Regions from separate parts of the Mus musculus genome. Here all the other regions are reported to be linked to region 1. Evidence: microRNA targets listed by miRTarBase, many of them from high-throughput screens and not tested one by one. Region 1 holds a microRNA gene; each other region holds the end of a gene's coding sequence.
Evidence for each region. Region 1 holds the annotated microRNA mmu-miR-337-3p (UCAGCUCCUAUAUGAUGCCUUU, at 2,538-2,559, shown strand). A microRNA usually pairs through its seed, bases 2 to 8, with sites in the 3' UTR of a target mRNA and lowers its output. Matches are read on the target gene's strand: a 7mer-m8 pairs with bases 2 to 8, a 7mer-A1 pairs with bases 2 to 7 and ends in A, and an 8mer does both.

Region 2: the mRNA of Fam83e is a reported target of mmu-miR-337-3p. The part of its 3' UTR that is shown has no 7-base or 8-base seed match.
Region 3: miRTarBase lists Utp23 as a target of mmu-miR-337-3p. Seed matches in the 3' UTR shown: 8mer at 2,905-2,912.

The regions. Positions count from the first base shown.
Region 1 is chr12:109,583,313-109,589,224 of GRCm38, forward strand. It overlaps Mir337 (microRNA 337), which reads left to right and starts at 2,477; the gene lies at 2,477-2,573. Mir3544 (microRNA 3544) reads right to left here and starts at 2,561; the gene lies at 2,501-2,561. Mir540 (microRNA 540) reads left to right here and starts at 2,768; the gene lies at 2,768-2,834. Mir665 (microRNA 665) reads left to right here and starts at 3,002; the gene lies at 3,002-3,095. It also overlaps Rtl1, Mir3070a and Mir3070b.
Region 2 is chr7:45,727,294-45,733,205 of GRCm38, forward strand. It overlaps Fam83e (family with sequence similarity 83, member E), which reads left to right. Exons shown (of 5, transcript NM_001033170.4): 5 at 1,473-2,199. The coding sequence ends at 1,706. It overlaps Sult2b1 (sulfotransferase family, cytosolic, 2B, member 1), which reads right to left. Exons shown (of 6, transcript NM_001360784.1): 5 at 3,945-4,125; 6 at 2,690-2,906. The coding sequence ends at 2,707. Among named protein-coding and RNA genes, the nearest start is that of Spaca4, 4.4 kb to the left of the region's middle.
Region 3 is chr15:51,880,468-51,886,379 of GRCm38, forward strand. It overlaps Utp23 (UTP23 small subunit processome component), which reads left to right. Exons shown (of 3, transcript NM_030132.5): 2 at 549-723; 3 at 1,684-4,155. The coding sequence ends at 2,070. Gm34678 (a long non-coding RNA gene) reads right to left here. Exons shown (of 6, transcript XR_003951502.1): 6 at 3,806-3,818. Among named protein-coding and RNA genes, the nearest start is that of Utp23, 6.0 kb to the left of the region's middle.

The DNA.
Region 1 (5,912 bases):
AAAACTTTCTACACCTATGTCACACACAGAGCCCCTCCCACCACCCATGAATCACAACAAGGGTCCTGAGTCACACTGCGTCTCATCTCTCCACGGGTATCACATTCAGCTCCACTCCCCTACCTGGGTCAGAGTAAGTTTCTCTTCCCTATCTTTACATGGTTTCCCACTACACCTGCTTTGTCTTGGACAGACCCCTCCCATCAGGCTGCACTTCCAAGACCCTCTGTGTTCATGTGTTAACATTTCTTATGTCTTATTGCTGGCCTCACACTGAGTCCTCTCCTCTTGTCATCCTGTGTTAGGGTTAGGCTATTGTCAGCCATGTGTCTTAAAGAGAAAATTCCATAATGGGGCACGCTTTGCCTAGCTCCACCCATATGTCCTGAAGAGCACCATTCCTCTACATGTGTCATGCTTAGCCTAACCCTTCCTACGTTCTGTATGCCCCCTCTCACACCTGTCGTGGTCACCTGAGTTCTACCCATGTGTCCTAGAGAGAGAACACCTCTCCCCACGTGTGTCATGCTTAGCCTAGCCCCACCCGTGTGCCCTGTGCACCCGAGCTTCATCCCACTTACTCCCCATTCACCTTAGGCCCCTCCCTGACTCTGAGCTCCTCCATCGTGAGAGGGCCCCTAAATCATGTGTCCCATAGCCCTCGTTCCTTTTAGTCACCACAAACCCTGCTGGTGCTCCAGATGCGGTACACGGAACTCTTCTCCTCTCGCTCTCTCTTCATGTTGGGAAGCCCCACCTCTGCACGCAGCACGTTGAGACATCCACCCCTTGCCTTGTGACATGGAGCGCTCTGCCTCTACACATACCACACTGTGACGTGCATGTCCTCCAGGTCACAAAGCAACTCATAGGTGTCACATCTAGTCCTTCTCCCCACTTGTGATGAACACTTTCCTTGACAGATGTCACACCGAGCCCCTATTTCCTCTATCAGAGCCCCTCCTCCTTATGTCCCACATGCAGCCCAGTCTCTTTCTCAGGAGTCATAGGCTCTCCTGTACAAGAGTCATACTGAGCCCCTCCTCTTTTTATGTGTCATGTTACCCCTCCTCTGCACATCACATTTACATTTTTTCTCCCCTGTACCATGGATTCTCTCCCCCATGTATAGCCTTGGACCACTCCCCATCCGCTAGATTTAATCCCTTAATCTCTCCATATGTTACTGACACCCCCCTGTGTAGGTAGGCATCATGGGATGTCCCTGTTCTTTTCTTTATGACATGAAGACCCCCTCTTTGCGTGGGATATCATATCCTTCATCTCTCCCTTGTGACATACGTCACCCTGAGACCCTCCTGCTTCCCGTGAGCCATGTCCCTATGCTCCCATACACATACATGTCCCTTTGCAACCCTCTTCTGCCCTGGATGATGTGCAGCTGTGTTCCACATGCTGCCCTGAGCCCCCCTTCTCTCTCTCCCCTGCCCCACTGACATCTGCAGCATCTTACCACAGCATTGAGCTGCCTTAACCCTTTGTCATTCACATGTCGTGTGCAGCTCCCTTCCTCCCTGGCTTAACACCGAGTCCTCCCTTCCCCACCTGTGTTCACCTGTCTTCTGGCCTCCCATCCTTACTACTCCCTCCCACCCCCATACTACCTCTTTATACCCTGCTCTCTGAGACTATGCTGGGACAAGTGTTTGTTGGCAGTTGGTGGGTGTGCCAGACAAGGAAGAGAAGAGCACAAGTCAGGAAAGATTTTTTTTTTTTACTTTATTCATATGTAAGGTGATACACATGTGCCATTCAAGCTGGCCATGGTGACAGAGGCCTGTCAATCATAGCCACACTTGGAAGCCTGAGGCAGGAAGATGGAGAAGTCGGGATCCACTCTGGATTACACAGATCCTGTTTCAAAAACAAACAAACAAACAAAAAAACTAACAGGCAAGCAAAAGCAGTTTGTGGTTTTTAGTTATTCATGGAGGAGTGTAACTCAAGTTGACACTCAAAGAACCTGGGGAGCGGTTGTTAGCTGTACCTGCAGTTTGTCCCCTCACCACACTGAGTAGCTTTTAACCCATGCATCTTTTTGGGGGATCCATCTGGGGCGTCTAAGCTCCTGCTGGTTCCCATGAGTCCCTTCTAGGTCTGCAGAGGAACCCACTGGATACTCGGGATGGACCTTAGCAGGACACTCCTGTGACCACAGTCACCCTTCCTTCCCTCTCCGCTTCCCCACCCCTCCTTCAGTGCTCCCTTGCCCCTCCTCTCTCCCTCCCATCCCTCTGCTCCCTCTCCCCCCTCCTCATCCCCTGGATTGGCTCCAGTCACTCCATGAGAGTTTATAAGAAGTGAGGTTGGGCAAGGAGGGTAGATGCTTCCACTGTGCTGCAGGTGCCCTAGGGCTGGCTGGCCTTTGGTTTCCTTCCTCTAACACTAAGCCCTGGGAGTCTGTCCTACCTGTTGTCTGTGCTTCTTGCCTTGCTTTTTCAGGAGAGGAGGGTCCCAGTGTAGTGAGAAGTTGGGGGGTGGGAACGGCGTCATGCAGGAGTTGATTGCACAGCCATTCAGCTCCTATATGATGCCTTTCTTCACCCCCTTCAACCGCGTGAGGCCTCCGGACCCTCCTCCGCGCACCTTGGGCCGCTTAGGGACGCGTCTTCAGCTCGCTCTTTTCCCCTGGCATGCTTTCTCGCCATTCTCCACAGTTCCTGGAGGGGAATACCCGGGGCTGGGCCATACCTGAGATCATTCCTTGGCGGGGGAGCTATACCCCTGGTGGGACATTCCCTGGGGCTGGGCCAAGGGTCACCCTCTGACTCTGTGGCCAAGGGTAGACAGGTCAGAGGTCGATCCTGGGCCTACTCTGGGGCTCCTCCCACTGGGATTCCAGGAGCCGTTCTCTCCTGGAGGTCCTCTGAGGGGACCCAGCTCCTAGCAGAAAGGGTGGATCCTTGAGAGATGGGGTCTTTGTTACTAGAGCAGGGCACAGGGCTGAGACAGGGCAGGGCTGAGCATTACCAGTGCTCCCAGAACAGGGTCTCCTTGAGGGGCCTCTGCCTCTATCCAGGATTATGTTTTTATGACCAGGAGGCTGAGGTCCCTTACAGGCGGCCTCTTACTCTCTCCTTGAGCCCTTCTGGAGACGTCTCACCTCATTCAGTTCAAACTCTGGATCCCCTAAGGAGTGCAGAAGATCCCTGTTCATCCTCCTCCCAGGCCGGGTGCCCACAGACACTTCAGTAGCACAATGAGCAGCTGGCGTAGAGTCTGAACCCCAATACCTAGGTCATTGCATGCATACAGGGCCCATCTCCATCCCCACAACACCACCATTATTAACTGCATTTACCAGCTATGGCAGCCAGCCCCGGCACACAGGAGCACCCTGAGTGAATAGCCTGGAAGCTGTGAAAGGATTTGAGGGCAGGACAGGGAGGACCCAGGCCACACCCAGTCCCCCTCCCCTTCACCACTGTCTCTCCCTTCCCTGTCCCCCCCTCTGCCCCCAATCTCCTTCTTCCTACTTGTGCTCCTGCACGGTCTTGGTGGCAAGATGGTCATGCGTGTCTCTCAGCTCACACAGGTGGATCAAAGTCCAGATGAGGTTTGCTGCTCAGGTCTCAGATCGTGTCTAACGATGTGGTCCCCTGGGCCCAGCACCAGGGCTTAAGGTGTATGGGACAGTTGAGGGGTGGGTAATATTTTCTTTTCCTTTTCTTACTATGGGGGTAGCCCAAGTTAGCCCAGGTTACCCAGGCATGTGGAGATCTCTGCTCCAGCCTGGTGAGGAGCTGGTAAAACTCTGGACTCAGGGTCCTGTGTGTGTGCTGTCACTGGCTCTGGTACCTGCAGGGACATCTTATAAGGGGAAGCAATGGAGAGGACAGGGAAGGTGGGCAAGGGAGGGCCCCTGCTCCTCTTTGTTCCTGGATGCTGTCAGAGCTCTCTGGTTGGGGACTGAAGCTGGGAAGTGGGGGCAGCTCCTTGGTGGGTGGAGTCTGCAGCCAGGGCCTGGCCTCTGGTTTTCACCTTGACAGGGTTGGAAGTGATGTTATCATCCCCTAGCAGGAACTTTCACACCAATTTCTTTCTTTTCTTTTCTCTTCCCCAGGAGAAAAAAAAAGGTTTGTGTTGTGTTTTTCAATCTCTATAAGTGGCTCCGCCGATAACCTGATAACCTACCGTTTTAGCACGTTTTAGCACGTCACCAGCTCTCTTCACAGTCCGGACCACCTCCTTTTGCTGTTAATGGGGACAAATCCCTGCTGGGTAGATTGGTAGGCCTGCGGGCCTTTATTGTCCTTTATGGTCTGTGTTCGTGCGGGCTGTGGGTAAACGCACCTCTGCAGTCAACATCACTGGCAGCCTCTTGGCGGGCTGCTGGCTCACTGAGTTCTCCTTCACTCTCACTTGCTTGGGGCCCTCAGGGCCTTGGGGCCCCTGGCAGTAGTCCTGACCTAAGTCATCTCTGCATTCACTGGGCCAGAGAAGTCCTCACCAAGCAGGGACAGGATTGTTTTGTTTTGTTTTGAGGCCCAGTTTTGTTGGAGGTGCCCAGGTAAACTAAGTGAGGGTACAGGACTGGTACGTTTGTTCTCCTCCAATAGGACCCCAGTCCCACCTTAAGGTTATGGACGCTCCTTAGGAACAGGAGGAAGTGCTGAGTGAGGCTGAGCCCCTGACCTTGAACCTGGGATCCTATCCATGATCTCCTGGTGCTACCGTCAGGGGTAGATTCCTTGTCATGAGGCCCCTTAGGACCCATAAGGACACAGTGACCCCAGTGCAGGCTGGAGGGGGCGTGGAGGGATGCAATCTTGCGTTCTAAGTAGGGTTTTTCTGGGACCCAAGCTTATAGATCCTGTATAGATGGGATCAAAGAGCTGAAAGCAGGTAGGGGGAGGTGTCATGCTGGGTATCCAGGGGTCTGACACATTCTCAGGCCAAAGAGGGCCCCTTGAGGTTAACTCAGGGGTACATTTCCAGGCAAGATATAAAGGGCAGAGTTAAGAAAGGGCCCTTGGGCGTGAGGGCCCTGCTCATTGCACCTGCCCACTATCTTTGAGGTCACAGTGGGAGGGGGCCCTTGTTTTTATACTCCTAGCTTGTGTGCAGATTTTCTGGGTAGGAAGTATAGAGTTTGTGAGTAAGGGACTATTTGCTCAATTTCCCTCTACCCCTAGGAGCTCCTTCCCCATCCCAGAGTATCCCTCAAGATAGCTTTTTTTAAGGCAAGGATCTCAGGGGCCAACTGTGGGAATGGTTCCAGTGGGGGGCCACTGGAGCCTCCTTAGCAACAGGAGGAAGTGCTGAGTGAGGCTGAGCCCCTGACCTTGAACCTGGGATCCTCCCCATGATCTTCTGGTGCTATGGTCAGGGGTAGATTCCTTGTCATGAGGCCCCTTAGGACCCATAAGGGCACAGTGACCCCAGTGCAGGCTGGAGGGGGCGTGGAGGGATGCAGTCTTGGGTTCTAAGAACTGTTTTTCTGGGATCCAAGCTCAAACATCCTGCCTGTTGACCCTCCTCAGCTGTGGGCATTGAGCACAGTCTGGCCATTCCTCATTTCTCATGTGACTAGAGGGCTGGGACCAGATGAGGGCTGGGAATTCTGGGTACCCTCCTTCTGCCCCATGAAACCCTTGGTCCATTTCCCAGAGGAGCCCAAAGTTTTGAGAGTGAATTGACTTCCCTCCCTTTAGGAGAAGACAGGAGGCCTGTTGCTCCATGTCTTCATGAGCTGTTTCTGGAGAGTCAAGCCCTCCTATCCCTGCCCCTCCCACCCTTGCCCTTGCCCATCCCAACCCTCTCTTCACACTCCATCCTTTCTGACCCCATGCTCCATGTTCTCCAGTCCTGCCTCCTACTATCCACCCTCTCCCTTTTAGAACAAACCACAAAGTCAGATAATCTTTTCTTCTCTTTATTCATGGGGCAAA
Region 2 (5,912 bases), not on the chromosome of region 1:
TGGGGAAACTGAGGCACCTGAGAGGAGTTGGAACTTAGCTCTGACTGTTTCCCCAAAGGACTTGTTGACATCCTACATCTGACTGTCCTGAGGGTGTTGGGGAAATGGAGGGGGTGGGGGTGAGGGGAACTGAGAATCCCTCTGCATTTTTATGGAGAATGAGGGTATGGCTGAGCCCAGTTTAGCTGCTTGGATAGTCCTGGGCCAGAAATGGCTGTCTGTGAGCCTCAGTTTCTCTCTGTGTGAGTCATGTTGTTGCATGAGAAGATGCAGAGCCGCGTGGGAGAGTCAAGTAGCCTCACCCAGGATGCAGGCCGAGGGAGTTATGTCCCTCAGTGAGCTAACCCAGGCCGAGGGAGTTATGTCCCTCAGTGAGCTAACCCTTTCTGGCTTCAGCCTTCCAATCTGTTCCCTGGTAACTGGAGCAGAGTCATTTCTGTCAGCTTTGTCTATGAAGTTAGACCTAAAGGAAAAGGAGTGGAGTGGCCAGGTCAAGGTCCTTGCCTCGCCTCCATCTGGGGTTCTCCTCCCTTGGCAAATATTTGTTCCCCTGGATGGCCACAGCTGCTTCCTGCTCTTCCCCAGCTCCACGGCAAGAGGAAAGGCATCCCATGTAGGTCTGGGGTTCCAGGCTCCCCACTTATGTCCCCCAGGCTCTGGAGGCTTCCTTTCATCTTCCTCATCTCCTCTACTGGCATCTCTCCCTCCTCCCTCTACCTGTCCTCCCTCCTCCCCTTCCCTCTCTTCCATCTCCTTCCAAGTACCTTCCATCCACCTCTTCCCTTACCTTCTCCCTCCTCCACCTCTAACTCCTCCCTCCTCCACCTCTAACTCCTCCCTCCTCCACCTCTAACTCCTCCCTCCTCCACCTCTAACTCCTCCCTCCTCCACCTCTAACTCCTATGTCTCTCCCTCCAAATCATCTTCCCCTCCCTTATTTCTTCCTTGTCTCTCACCCTTTGTCCCTTTTCCCTTGTCTCTGGGCCCCAAGATATTCTCTCCTCCTCTTGTGTATGTGTGTCCCTGTGTATGTAGGAGTGTTTGCTGGTGTGTGCCTATTGAGGTCAGATGTCACTCCCGGGGGGTCTTCCTGTCACTCTCCACCTTACCGTTTAAGACATGTCTCTCACTGTTCTTGGAGCTGGCTGTTGCTGATAGCCTGGCTGCCAGGCAGCCTCGGAGCCTCGGGATCCATCTGTCCCTGTCTTCCAGCACTAAGGTTACAGATTCTTATTGATGGTCTCAACATTCTTTCCCCCTTATTTTGAGATGGGGTTTTATGTGGTCCAGGCTGGTCTTAAGCTTCTGATCCTCCTGCTGCCGTGCCACCTCCTCAGTGTCCATCATAACTGGTCTATATCATGCTGAGGCTCAACCCCAGGGCCTTTAGCATGTGATGCCAGCACCCCACCAGCTCAGCCCCAGCAACTACTCACCTTCTTTTTTTTTTTTTTTTTTTTTTTTCTTTACAGTCCAAGAAGTTCTGGGTCTCCAAGGACACTCCAGCCAGGGCCCTGATGAGGCAGCGGGGCACTGGAGGTGGGCCCAGAGCTGAGATGGATTCCCGTTCACAGCCCTGGGGTGGCCCCCTACCCTCGATTCCAGCCCGCCGCCTGCGTTACCTATCCCCAGCCCAAAGGAGATTGGGGGACAATGCCACCACATCAGACTGGGCCTCTGGCTCAGGCTCTGGAAGGAGACGCTGACAGGAACCCTGGCCAGATGTGGCTGGCCAGCCATGGGTCTAGTTTAGAGCTCTAACCAGACATTGGCTGTATGTGAGGCCTGTAGTCTAGGATCTTGGCAGCAGAAGGGACTGGTCTTAATTGCTCTAGAATTGGGTGAGCTCACTAAGAGCTTGGTGTTGCCATCTGGGAAATGGGCAGAGAGGTCCAGAGCAGCAGACAGGACTGCTGCAGAGACAGGCTCAGCTGCCTCACCATGTACTATATAAAGAGATAGTGGGGCAACCCCACGACAGAGAAGACATAGATAAAGTTGAGTCCAGGAGAGGAGAATTAATGGGGGTAGAGGTTGGGGCGGGGGGTGATGGGCAAAGCTGAAAAAAAAAAACAAAGGTCTGGAAAGTACCGGGGATACTGAGACACTGGACAATGTCTGGAGTTTTCTGTGGGAGCTAAGGGAAGGCTTCAGAGCATGTCCCTGTATTCTACTCGGATTAAACTCCAACAGCACAGACACGCGTCTCCATGGCCTTCCTGCCCCATCCCCTCCTGCTCCAGAGTCCAGCCTCCAGCATCCCCCCTAGCTCTTCTTCAGACCCAGGGTTCCCCTCAGGTCTAGGGGTGCAGGCCTATGGGACAGTGGAGCTGGCATCCTGACTTCAAGCTCAGTGCTGGGCTCCTGGCCCCTTGTATCTTGTGTTATTGCTATGATACCCTGGCCCCTCCCCTTGTATCTCATGTTGTTGCTATGATACTCACTGAGGAGCCCAGGCTAGATGTAAACTTGCAATCCCACTGCCTCCACCTCCCAAGCATGGGGTGATTGTCGAGTCACACTGCCTTCTGCAGCATGCACACATTCTGTCTGTGTGGTGTGTGGCGCATTCTGTCTGTGTGGTGTGTGGCTGGCCACTCTGCCTGCCTGCCTGCACCCCCTGCCTGCCTGCACCCCCTGCTTGCCTGCACCCCCTGCTTGCCCCGGAAAGTCAGCACAGAGGAGGGAGTGGTTGGAGTGATAAGTTTATTGTGAGGATCCTGGGTTGGGGTCATCAGAAGCTGGGCTGGGGCTGGGCTCAGGGTCAGGCTGGCCATCAGGGCTGCTATCCTCTTCAGACGTGTCCCAGGGGAACCTCTGCACCCCGTGCATTTGCTCTCGGTAAACACTGTCAAAAGCCTCACTCTGGGCCACAGTGAAGTGGTTCTTCCAGTCGCCACTGATCCCTGGAGGGGACAGAGGAAGAGCCCAGTAAGGAGCTGTTGGGGTACCCCCTTGCTCCCGTCTCAGCCTTGTTGGATGTCCCCTCAGCCTCCCTCACCATGACCAACCACGCCGCCTGTGTCAGCTGGCCAGAGCCTCCTAGGCATACTGCTTCTTTCCCTTACACCTAGGTGACCCCACACCAGCCCTGTCCTTTGACCTCTGACCTCCCAGATATCTTCTCACAACTCACCTCCCTCTTGGCACCCAAACACCCCTTTGACAACCTGCATCACTTCCTCTGGGACATGTCTCTGCCAGCACAAGGCTCTCTCCCCCTCGTTCCCCTCAGATACCCAACATGGCCTCAACATTCTTCCGACTTGATGGCTGGTCCACCCCAGCCAGGCAATCTAGAGGCTTCACATGAATGGGCCAGTCTGAGGTCCTCACAGCCAGTGAGCTGTCTCAGCAAGGCACTCCACAAGCATGCAGTCCTGAGTACTGGTCCCTCAGACTACTAGGGGTCCACCTCTTGCCCGTGTGGAAAATGCTCTTTAGAATAGCTTGTTAGATTTTGGTTACATGCTGTGTCACCTCTTGTGAGCTCAGGGGCCTCCCTGAGGGATTCCCAAGTCTTGGAATTTAGAACATGAAACCACATGGCGGAAGGATCTGTAGAGAGGGGGTTGACCTGAGTCACCCGGGGATCCTGTGCTGTAGCAGCTCTGCTTTGTCTCGAGACAGACAGCCTCTCTAGCATCGCGGGCTGACCTGAGTCTAGCTGGTTTGAGAGGCAAGCACCACCACACTGAATTACTCTGCACTGAGTGTTAACTAATAAAAAGGTTCCTGGGGACTTTACACTCATGTTGTTAGAGCCCCTGCTTTGGCCTCACTTTGTCCCAGGGAGAGGCCCAGATGGAGGCAGGTCAGCGGGCGGTGCCAGACCTCCTGCTGAGAGTGAAGACACGTCTAGGGTGGCTCTCACATTCCACAGGCCTTCTGGGAAAATGGAGGCCCAGAAAGCCATGCAATTGGCTAGAAGCACCCAGGGGTACCTTTGCGCAGGAACTCCCCCTGGCGGTGGTCCAGCAGGCTGGCCGGCAGCAGCGAGTAGTTGGACATGGTATTGGCCTTCATGGCAGCAAAGGCTGAGTGGGCCACCACAGAGCTCAGGGCCTCTTCACCCAGTGGCCGGCCCAGGAACTCACAGATGCGTTGCACGGAGCCTCGCAGGTCCTGGGGTAGGGAGAGGAGGCGTCAGTGGAGTGGGGACCACTTTGTTTGGCCTGGAGTGGTTCCTGACTCTCTGCCTCAGTTTCCCCATCTCCCTGTTCTCCAGGGTTCTATAGGGTTCTGAAGGAGGCAGGGGAGTGTAGGTTGACAGAAATCAGCTCAGCAACTTACAGAGATTGCTGCTGTGTGTCGGGAGCAGAAGCTGTAGGTGGGGCTACTCTGCTCCTCCCTGGTTGCCCAGTGCTGGTCTCTGGAGCCTAGCCTTCCCTGTCTGCCTCAGCCCAGATGCCAGTCTGCCATCATCCTTGTCCTTCCTGCCTGCCTGTCTTGTGCATATACTCATCTCTGTGTCCCCAACATTCCCACCCTGGTCCACCAGACAGACCATCTTCCCCCTTGCCAGACCCTCACCTCTGGAGCCCCTTCCCCAGCCTGTCTGTCTCTGGCCTCCTTCCCCGTCAGTTCCATTGATCCAGTGGCCTCCCAGGACATAGGACAGAGCCTCCTCCCCGCAAACCTGACTTTCAAGAATAATTTGGTGTGAACCCCTTCTTCCCATACCATTGTTCCCACACCCTCCTCCCTCGGATCTTGGCACAAGATTTCTCTCGATTTGCCCTTTGTCACTGATAAACTCAATTGGCGCTTTCCTCACAATACTTGGCTCACAAGTCTCTGGGCCTAAGCCCTCATTCACATTTGTGCTGATCGGCCTTGGAAGAAACATCACACCCTAGTCAGCAAACAGAGGTCCAGAGATAGCAAGGTACTTGGTCAAAGCTTAATAGCCTGGAAGCTCAGACCCAGACTCCCGATCCCCACAGGTCCCCTCAACCTCACAGCATCTATGGCATCCAGCGCCCTGCATGGCTGGTCACGGCTCGGCCCCACAACCTGCCTTTCCAGGACATTCCTGGTTTCATAACCCTTTATTCTCTGAGCCGCCGGCCTGTCCCAGAAACACACATGTGGGCGGTGCCTCACACCCCAGGAGTGGCCCAGAAGCTGTGCTAGGCTCCATGGCCCAGTTTTTGGAGGTTTGGAGATAAAACCTGAGGAAATGTAGGGAGGGAGACATGGTGCTGAAGCCTTTTCCAGAACTTGCCACCAGAAGAAAGGTATCAGGATAGACTATGGGGCAGCAGGGAATTGCTGTGTGTCTTAGGCAAACACCCGATCCACTCTAGAGCACGAAAGGTCCACTTTCCTCCCCTGAACATTGCTGATAATTTACCAGGGTAAACTTAAAAAAATTACAATTTTTACAGCTCACAATAGGTGAGCCATTGGCATTTTAATATATATATGTATATATATATATATACATATATATATATATACACACATACATACATATATGTGTATATATACATATACATACATATATGTATGTATATGTATATATACTTTGAAAATGTTTTTATTACATTCGTGTGTGTCTGTGTGGTGTGTGGTGTGTGTGTATGTGCATGTGGAGGGGACAACCAGCAGGGGTCACAGTTCTCTCCTTCCACACTTGGGGATCGAACTCAGGCTATCTGGCATGGTAGCAAGAGACTTTATTCTTTGAGTCAACATGTCAACTCTCTTAAACTTAAAAAAAAAAATATTACGCGTATGAGTGTTTTACCTGCTGGTATGTATGTGTACCATGAGGGCTACAGAGGCCAGAAAAGGTCACGCAATCCCCTGGAACTGGAGGTGCAGGCAACTGTGAGCCACTGTGCAGGTGCTGGGAACCCATTCCAGTCTCTGCAACAGCAGCCAGTGCTCCTGCCCACGGAGCCCTC
Region 3 (5,912 bases), not on the chromosome of region 1:
TTGTAATAGTGACCTGGAGTCCTCTTCAGTATCTGGAAGGCTCATTGTATCTGGTCCATCTGTAAGAGGTAGAGATTTGAGGATAAGTTAGAAATTTAATTCAGTTAATCATGTAGCTTTATTATACATTTGAGGTTAAGCAATAGTATATGCGAAAAACAACTTGCATGCTTCCTGTACACAAATGCTTAGTGTACTCTGACATTGGTATTCTTTCTGCTTGGAGTATGTATTTTTAAAGTTTTCATTTAAGAAGAAAATGGCAACCGTGCTATAAATCCACATTTTTTTATTTTTTTAATTAGGTATTTATTTCATTTACGTTTCAAATGCTATCCCAAAAGTCCCCCAGACCCTCCCCCCCCCCCCCCGCCCCACTCCCCTACCCACCCACTCCCACTTCTTGGCCCTGGCGTTCCCCCGTCACATTTTTATGGAATAGTTTTTCCACCTTAAAAACTTGAGTATTGTGTTTATGCTTGCTTTGTATAAACAGAAGGAATGTATTGGTTGTGATTCTGGACTCTGAATGACTTTTTTCTCCCCAGATGTGTGTTAAAGGAGTTAGAAACACTGGGAAAGGAATTATATGGAGCAAAACTGATTGCACAGAAATGCCAGGTTCGAAACTGTCCTCATTTCAAGAGCCCAGTGAGTGGGTCTGAATGTCTCCTGTCCATGGTGGATGAGGGGAACCCTCATCATTATTTTGTGGCCACACAGGTAATGTTACTTTCAAAACTGTAAGGCAGTTTTAACTACCTCTATATATACTTCATGCAGCTCTGTTTGCAGTACAAAGAAAAGTAAGTGGGAGAGATAATGTAGTGTTTGAAGTTCTATTTATTTACTTACTGTGGTGTATTAGAGAGGATTCCAGTCACTTAGCTAATTCATGTTTCATTGTTTGGACTTTTAAAAATGTACATTTTAAAATGGGATCAATAAAGGTACTTACTTGAACATATGAGGAGGAGACTAAGTTTGGGGGACTTTTTTTCCTTCAGAAGTTTCCTTCTAGAGGCTGAGGAGCTGTTGCAGTAGTGTGCTGATTGCGTCACGGTTCTTCAAGCAGGGAGGAGTCGGGCAGTCTCTGCCTTCTGGACTCATAACCTAGCATGTTCCTGAATTCCTGCTTCTCAGCTCATGGTGCATGTGCTCTGAGATTAGCATCAGGAGGCTGCAGAGATGGCTCAGGGGTTAAGAGCTGGCTGCTCTTGGTTTAATTCCCAACACCTATACAGCTGCTCTCAACCATGTGTACCTACAGTCTCAAGGAACCCACCGCCATCTTACGGCCACCTAGGCACACATGAGGTATACAGATATGATTGTGGAGTCAGCTTATTACTCTGCTCCAACCTCTTCCCTTGTCGATGTTTCGAGAGAATATCTAGTGGAAAGGCAAGAGAAAGTTTCTAATGTATTTTCTGTTGCATTGGTTGATAATTCGTGGGCCCAGAGTGTTGACTGATCCAGCCCCGACTGCTGTTGAGTGGCTTCATTCTGCTTAGTCTTTATGTTTTCTGTCCTCTACCGTAAGATACATTTTGATTAATAAGACATGTCATCTGAAAAAGAAAACATATAGTTCTTTTTTTCCCCATCTAGCCTTTTTTAATAGAAACTTAATTTTAGGTTCTAATTTTGATTGAGAAACCAAACCCCTTTCCTTTTTAATAGGATCAGAACTTATCTGTGAAAGTCAAGAGGACTCCTGGAATTCCTCTCATGTTCATTATTCAGAACACTATAGTGTTGGACAAGCCTTCTCCCAGAACAGTGGCCTTTGTGAAGGCGGTCGAGGCGGGTCAGCTGGTCTCAGTGCACGAGAAACAGAGTATCAAGCAACTGAAGGAGGAGCAAGGCCTGGTGCGGAACCCGGACCTGAGGAGGAGGAGGAGGAAAAAGAAGAAGGTGGGCGGCCCCAATCCTCTCAGCTGCCTGAAGAAAAAGAAGAAAGCACAGGATACAAAGTCCCCTGCTTCCGAAAAGAAAAGGAAAAGGAAACGGATTCGGAACAGATCCACCCTGAAAGTGTCTTCTGAGCAGCAGGGTGCAGAAGGCTGATGTGTGCTGGGGATACTCTGGAAGACAGTGGAAACTAACTTCCTGTTCAAACTGTGAAAATGTGTATACCAGAGGACTAACTTATTTTTGTAAACTACTACTGCTACATACACTTTTGCCAAAAGTAAAGAATAGTTGGGTTTGTCAGTGTGCATCTTCAGTTGTTGCTTTGGGGATGTATTTTTATTATAAAATTATCTCCAGTTTCTCCCCTTCTCACCCTCCAAGTGCTGTGTATGTGTGTGGTATATGAGTGGTATGTGTTTGTGAGCCTCTCTCTCTCTCTCTCTCTCTCTCTCTCTCTCTGTGTGTGTAGGTGCAGTAGTGTTTGTGAGCTTGTTGGGCGGTGGGGGGGGGGGGTGAGCGTGTGTATGAAGCAGCTAGAGGTCAGCATGAAGTGTCTTTCTCTATCACTCTCTACCATTATTTTTTGAGAGAGTTTCTCACTGAATCAATAACTTGCCAGTTAAGTGGTCCTGGATGGCCGTTAAGCCCCAGAGATCCTCCTGTCTCCTTTCTGGTGCTGGGATTGACAGCATTCACTGTTGAATGTGGCTTTCTGTATGAGTCTGAGGATCTGAACCCAACTCCTCACAGTAGTACGGCAGGTAAGGTCCTGACTGAGGCATCACCCCAGCACCACATAATTTTAAAAGTCAGTCCTAAGGCCAGTGAGATGACTCAGTGGGTGTCTTAGTCAGGGTTTCTATTCCTGCACAAACATCATGACCAAGAAGCAAGTTGGGGAGGAAAGGGTTTATTCTGCTTACACTTCCACATTGCTGTTCATCACCAAAGGAAATCAGGACTGGAACTCAAGCAGGTCAGGAAGCAGGAGCTGATGCAGAGGCCATGGAGGGATGTTCTTTACTGACTTGCCTCCCCTGGCTTGCTCAACTTGCTCTCTTATAGAACCCAAGACTACCAGCCCAGGGATGGCACAACCCACAAGGGGCCTTTCCCCCTTGATCACTAATTGAGAAAATGCCTTGCAGTTGGATCTCTTGGAGGCATTTCCTCAACTGAAGCTCCTTTCTCTGTGATAACTCCAGCCTGTGTCAAGTTGACACACAAAACCAGCCGGTACAGTGGGTAAAGACGCCTGCTGCCTACCTTGATAACTGAACCTCGTCCCTGAGACCTAGAGACCAGACCTGACTCCCAAAATTGTCTTCTTACCTCCACACCTCCACGCAAAACAAATTAATGTCATTTGTAAAAGTCAGTTCTAAGGGAGGAAAGGGGGATAGCTTACCCATTATTTTGTATATGGCAATAAAATCTGTAAGAGCTTAAGATAAAAGTTGTATCTTTGACAGTTGGAGAAACCTCCACATTCAACTAACTGTTGAATACAATGCTACCGTCTGCTCTCAATAGCCTGGAAAGGATGGCTATAGCACCTTACATTTTCCTAATAAACAAGTGTTGTAGTATTTATTGGTCATAAACTCGTTTTTAGCATTGTGCATGGCTGAGCAAGGTGACATGTAGTGTGGCTAAATTTATTACATTGCTCTTCCTGAAACTAATAGCGTTGGGCTTCTTCATTGCCCAGTAACATGGCATATAGTTACACTCATCCAATAGTTTGAAGTCATTTTTACCATGCAATACTTAGCTGGGTTCTCCTGATGTCCTCCAGTGTGGCTGTGCTTTCTGCTGAGCATGCTACTCAGATATTGTTAGGTACTGTCCTCTGGAGAACTGTCATGGTAGGCTTTTTTTCTTCTTCTTGTATTCCCTTGCTGTAATAAAGCACAAAGCAAGTAAGAAATCCATATTTGAGAGTATCTACTGCCTTTATTACAAACTACATGAGTCCTAGCTGAAGTTCACTTCAATTTTCTTAAATCTTGTTTATTTATTGTCCTAAGGAAAACATTCCATTTTTAAGCCCCACAGGTTCAATAATGTGTTGATTTTTGTTTCTGATAGCTGATCTGAATACTATCCCTCAATGGCAAGAATTCTAAAATAATGTTCTACTGGGTATTCTGATAAAGTGTCCAAATTATTTGATTCAATTAGAAAATTGAATGTCTAGGTTTATGTAAAATAAAATGGTTGTGATTTGACAAGTTTAATAATAGTTTTTCATGTGTAAGTAGAAAGAAATGTTTAAAATCTTTAAAATAGGCCATTTTATTATACAAAAATCCTTACAACTTTTAGTTTAGATGTAAATGAAGGGCCAGAAGGATGGCTGCACCCATCCAAAACTATGAAAATGCCCCAGCCCACTCCACAGAGAAGGGGAAGGGTGCTGAGGGGCCATTCCTGGTACCGTAAGCCCTGGGCAGTCAGGCCATGTGGAGAGCTTATTATGGTTAAACTGATATTGATGGTTCTCTAAGTTGACATTGCATCAAACAACCTTTTACTATCTACACTTATACCCACAAACAAAAGGTTCCCAGCCATAATATGAGAATCCTCTCTCAGCAATGAGTGGTGCTGAATACAGAGTCCTGCCTCCCCATGACGCAGCTGTGACAGTTCTGACCCACAGCCCTAAACAAGACAATTATCCCACCCCTCGAAGGCTCAAGAAGCCTTACAGAAGTGAACTAAGAACCAGAAGATGGGATGAGGGATTGCAAAACGCTGTTTTCTAGACTAGATGCAATCACTGAAATTATTAACTCCAATCTTGTTACCTGCCCTGGACCCATCTAACATAGGCCTCATTAATAGTCAAGGTGGGGGAAGGGGCTCAAGGGGCCCTACCATTTACTTCTGAACCATTTGCGACTGGTAGATTCTGAGAGGGGGGGGGGGGAAGCACTGTCTCTCGCTGTGTACCCACTGCTGAGCCCACCATGCTCTATTGCAGAGCTTCAAAAGCATGGTCACCTAGACAGCACTGGTCACAGTGAGAGATCAGGGGGAAAGGAGAGGCCGTGCAGGACAGAAGGCGAGAGTGGCCACTATCTATTTTGAATGTATAAAATTGTCTAAGAACAATTTCAATTGATTTAAGAAAAAGTACTGGCTAATTGCAATACATCTATCAGGTGGGTTTCAGAGTACCCAGCTGGTAACGTTGACTTAGAACTTTTAAAATACTGCCACCCATGTACTACTTCATTAGAGGAACATGAGAATTTTCCACTAGGAGGGTTGGAAATGACTACAGCAGCACCCACCAAAATTGTGAAGTGAAAGGTCTATGCCAAGTTACACATTTCCACTTCCTTATGTAAGGTCTTACCTGCTTTTCCTATACAACGGGTAAATCTGCCACTTAGAAAAGATGCCTGTGGCCAGGATGACTTACACCAGTATTTACTAGCTTAGCTGAAATCTAGGCGTTGCTACGCTTCTTAAATAATTCTTGAACAAGTACTTAGTGTAAACCATAAAATTTAGGTTTTAAATTTACTCTTTAAAAGACTTTGTGGTTTACTAGAATATAGCAACAAGACCAGGCCTAAGAAGATGCTTGGTGGTGGAGTGCTCATTATGAGAAAAGAATTCATCTCCTGCACCACAAACACACACATGAAGAAACACATGAAACAGAATGAAATTCTTGTTACTTAAAAAAATGCTGGGGGCTGGCGAGATGGCTCAGTGGTTAAGAGCGCCACCTGCTCTTCCGAAGGTCCCGAGTTCAAATCCCAGCAACCAAATGGTGGCTCACAACCATCCGTAACGAAATCTGATGCCCTCTTCTGGAGTATCTGAGGACAGCTACAGTGTACTTAAATATAATAAATAAATAAATCTTTTAAAAAATGCAACAAATATTTCTTAACACTAGACACTATGTTATTAAGCAGATTTTTAACTAGTATTGGACAAAAAGAAATGGTAAGAGTGCTTACTATAACTGTCAT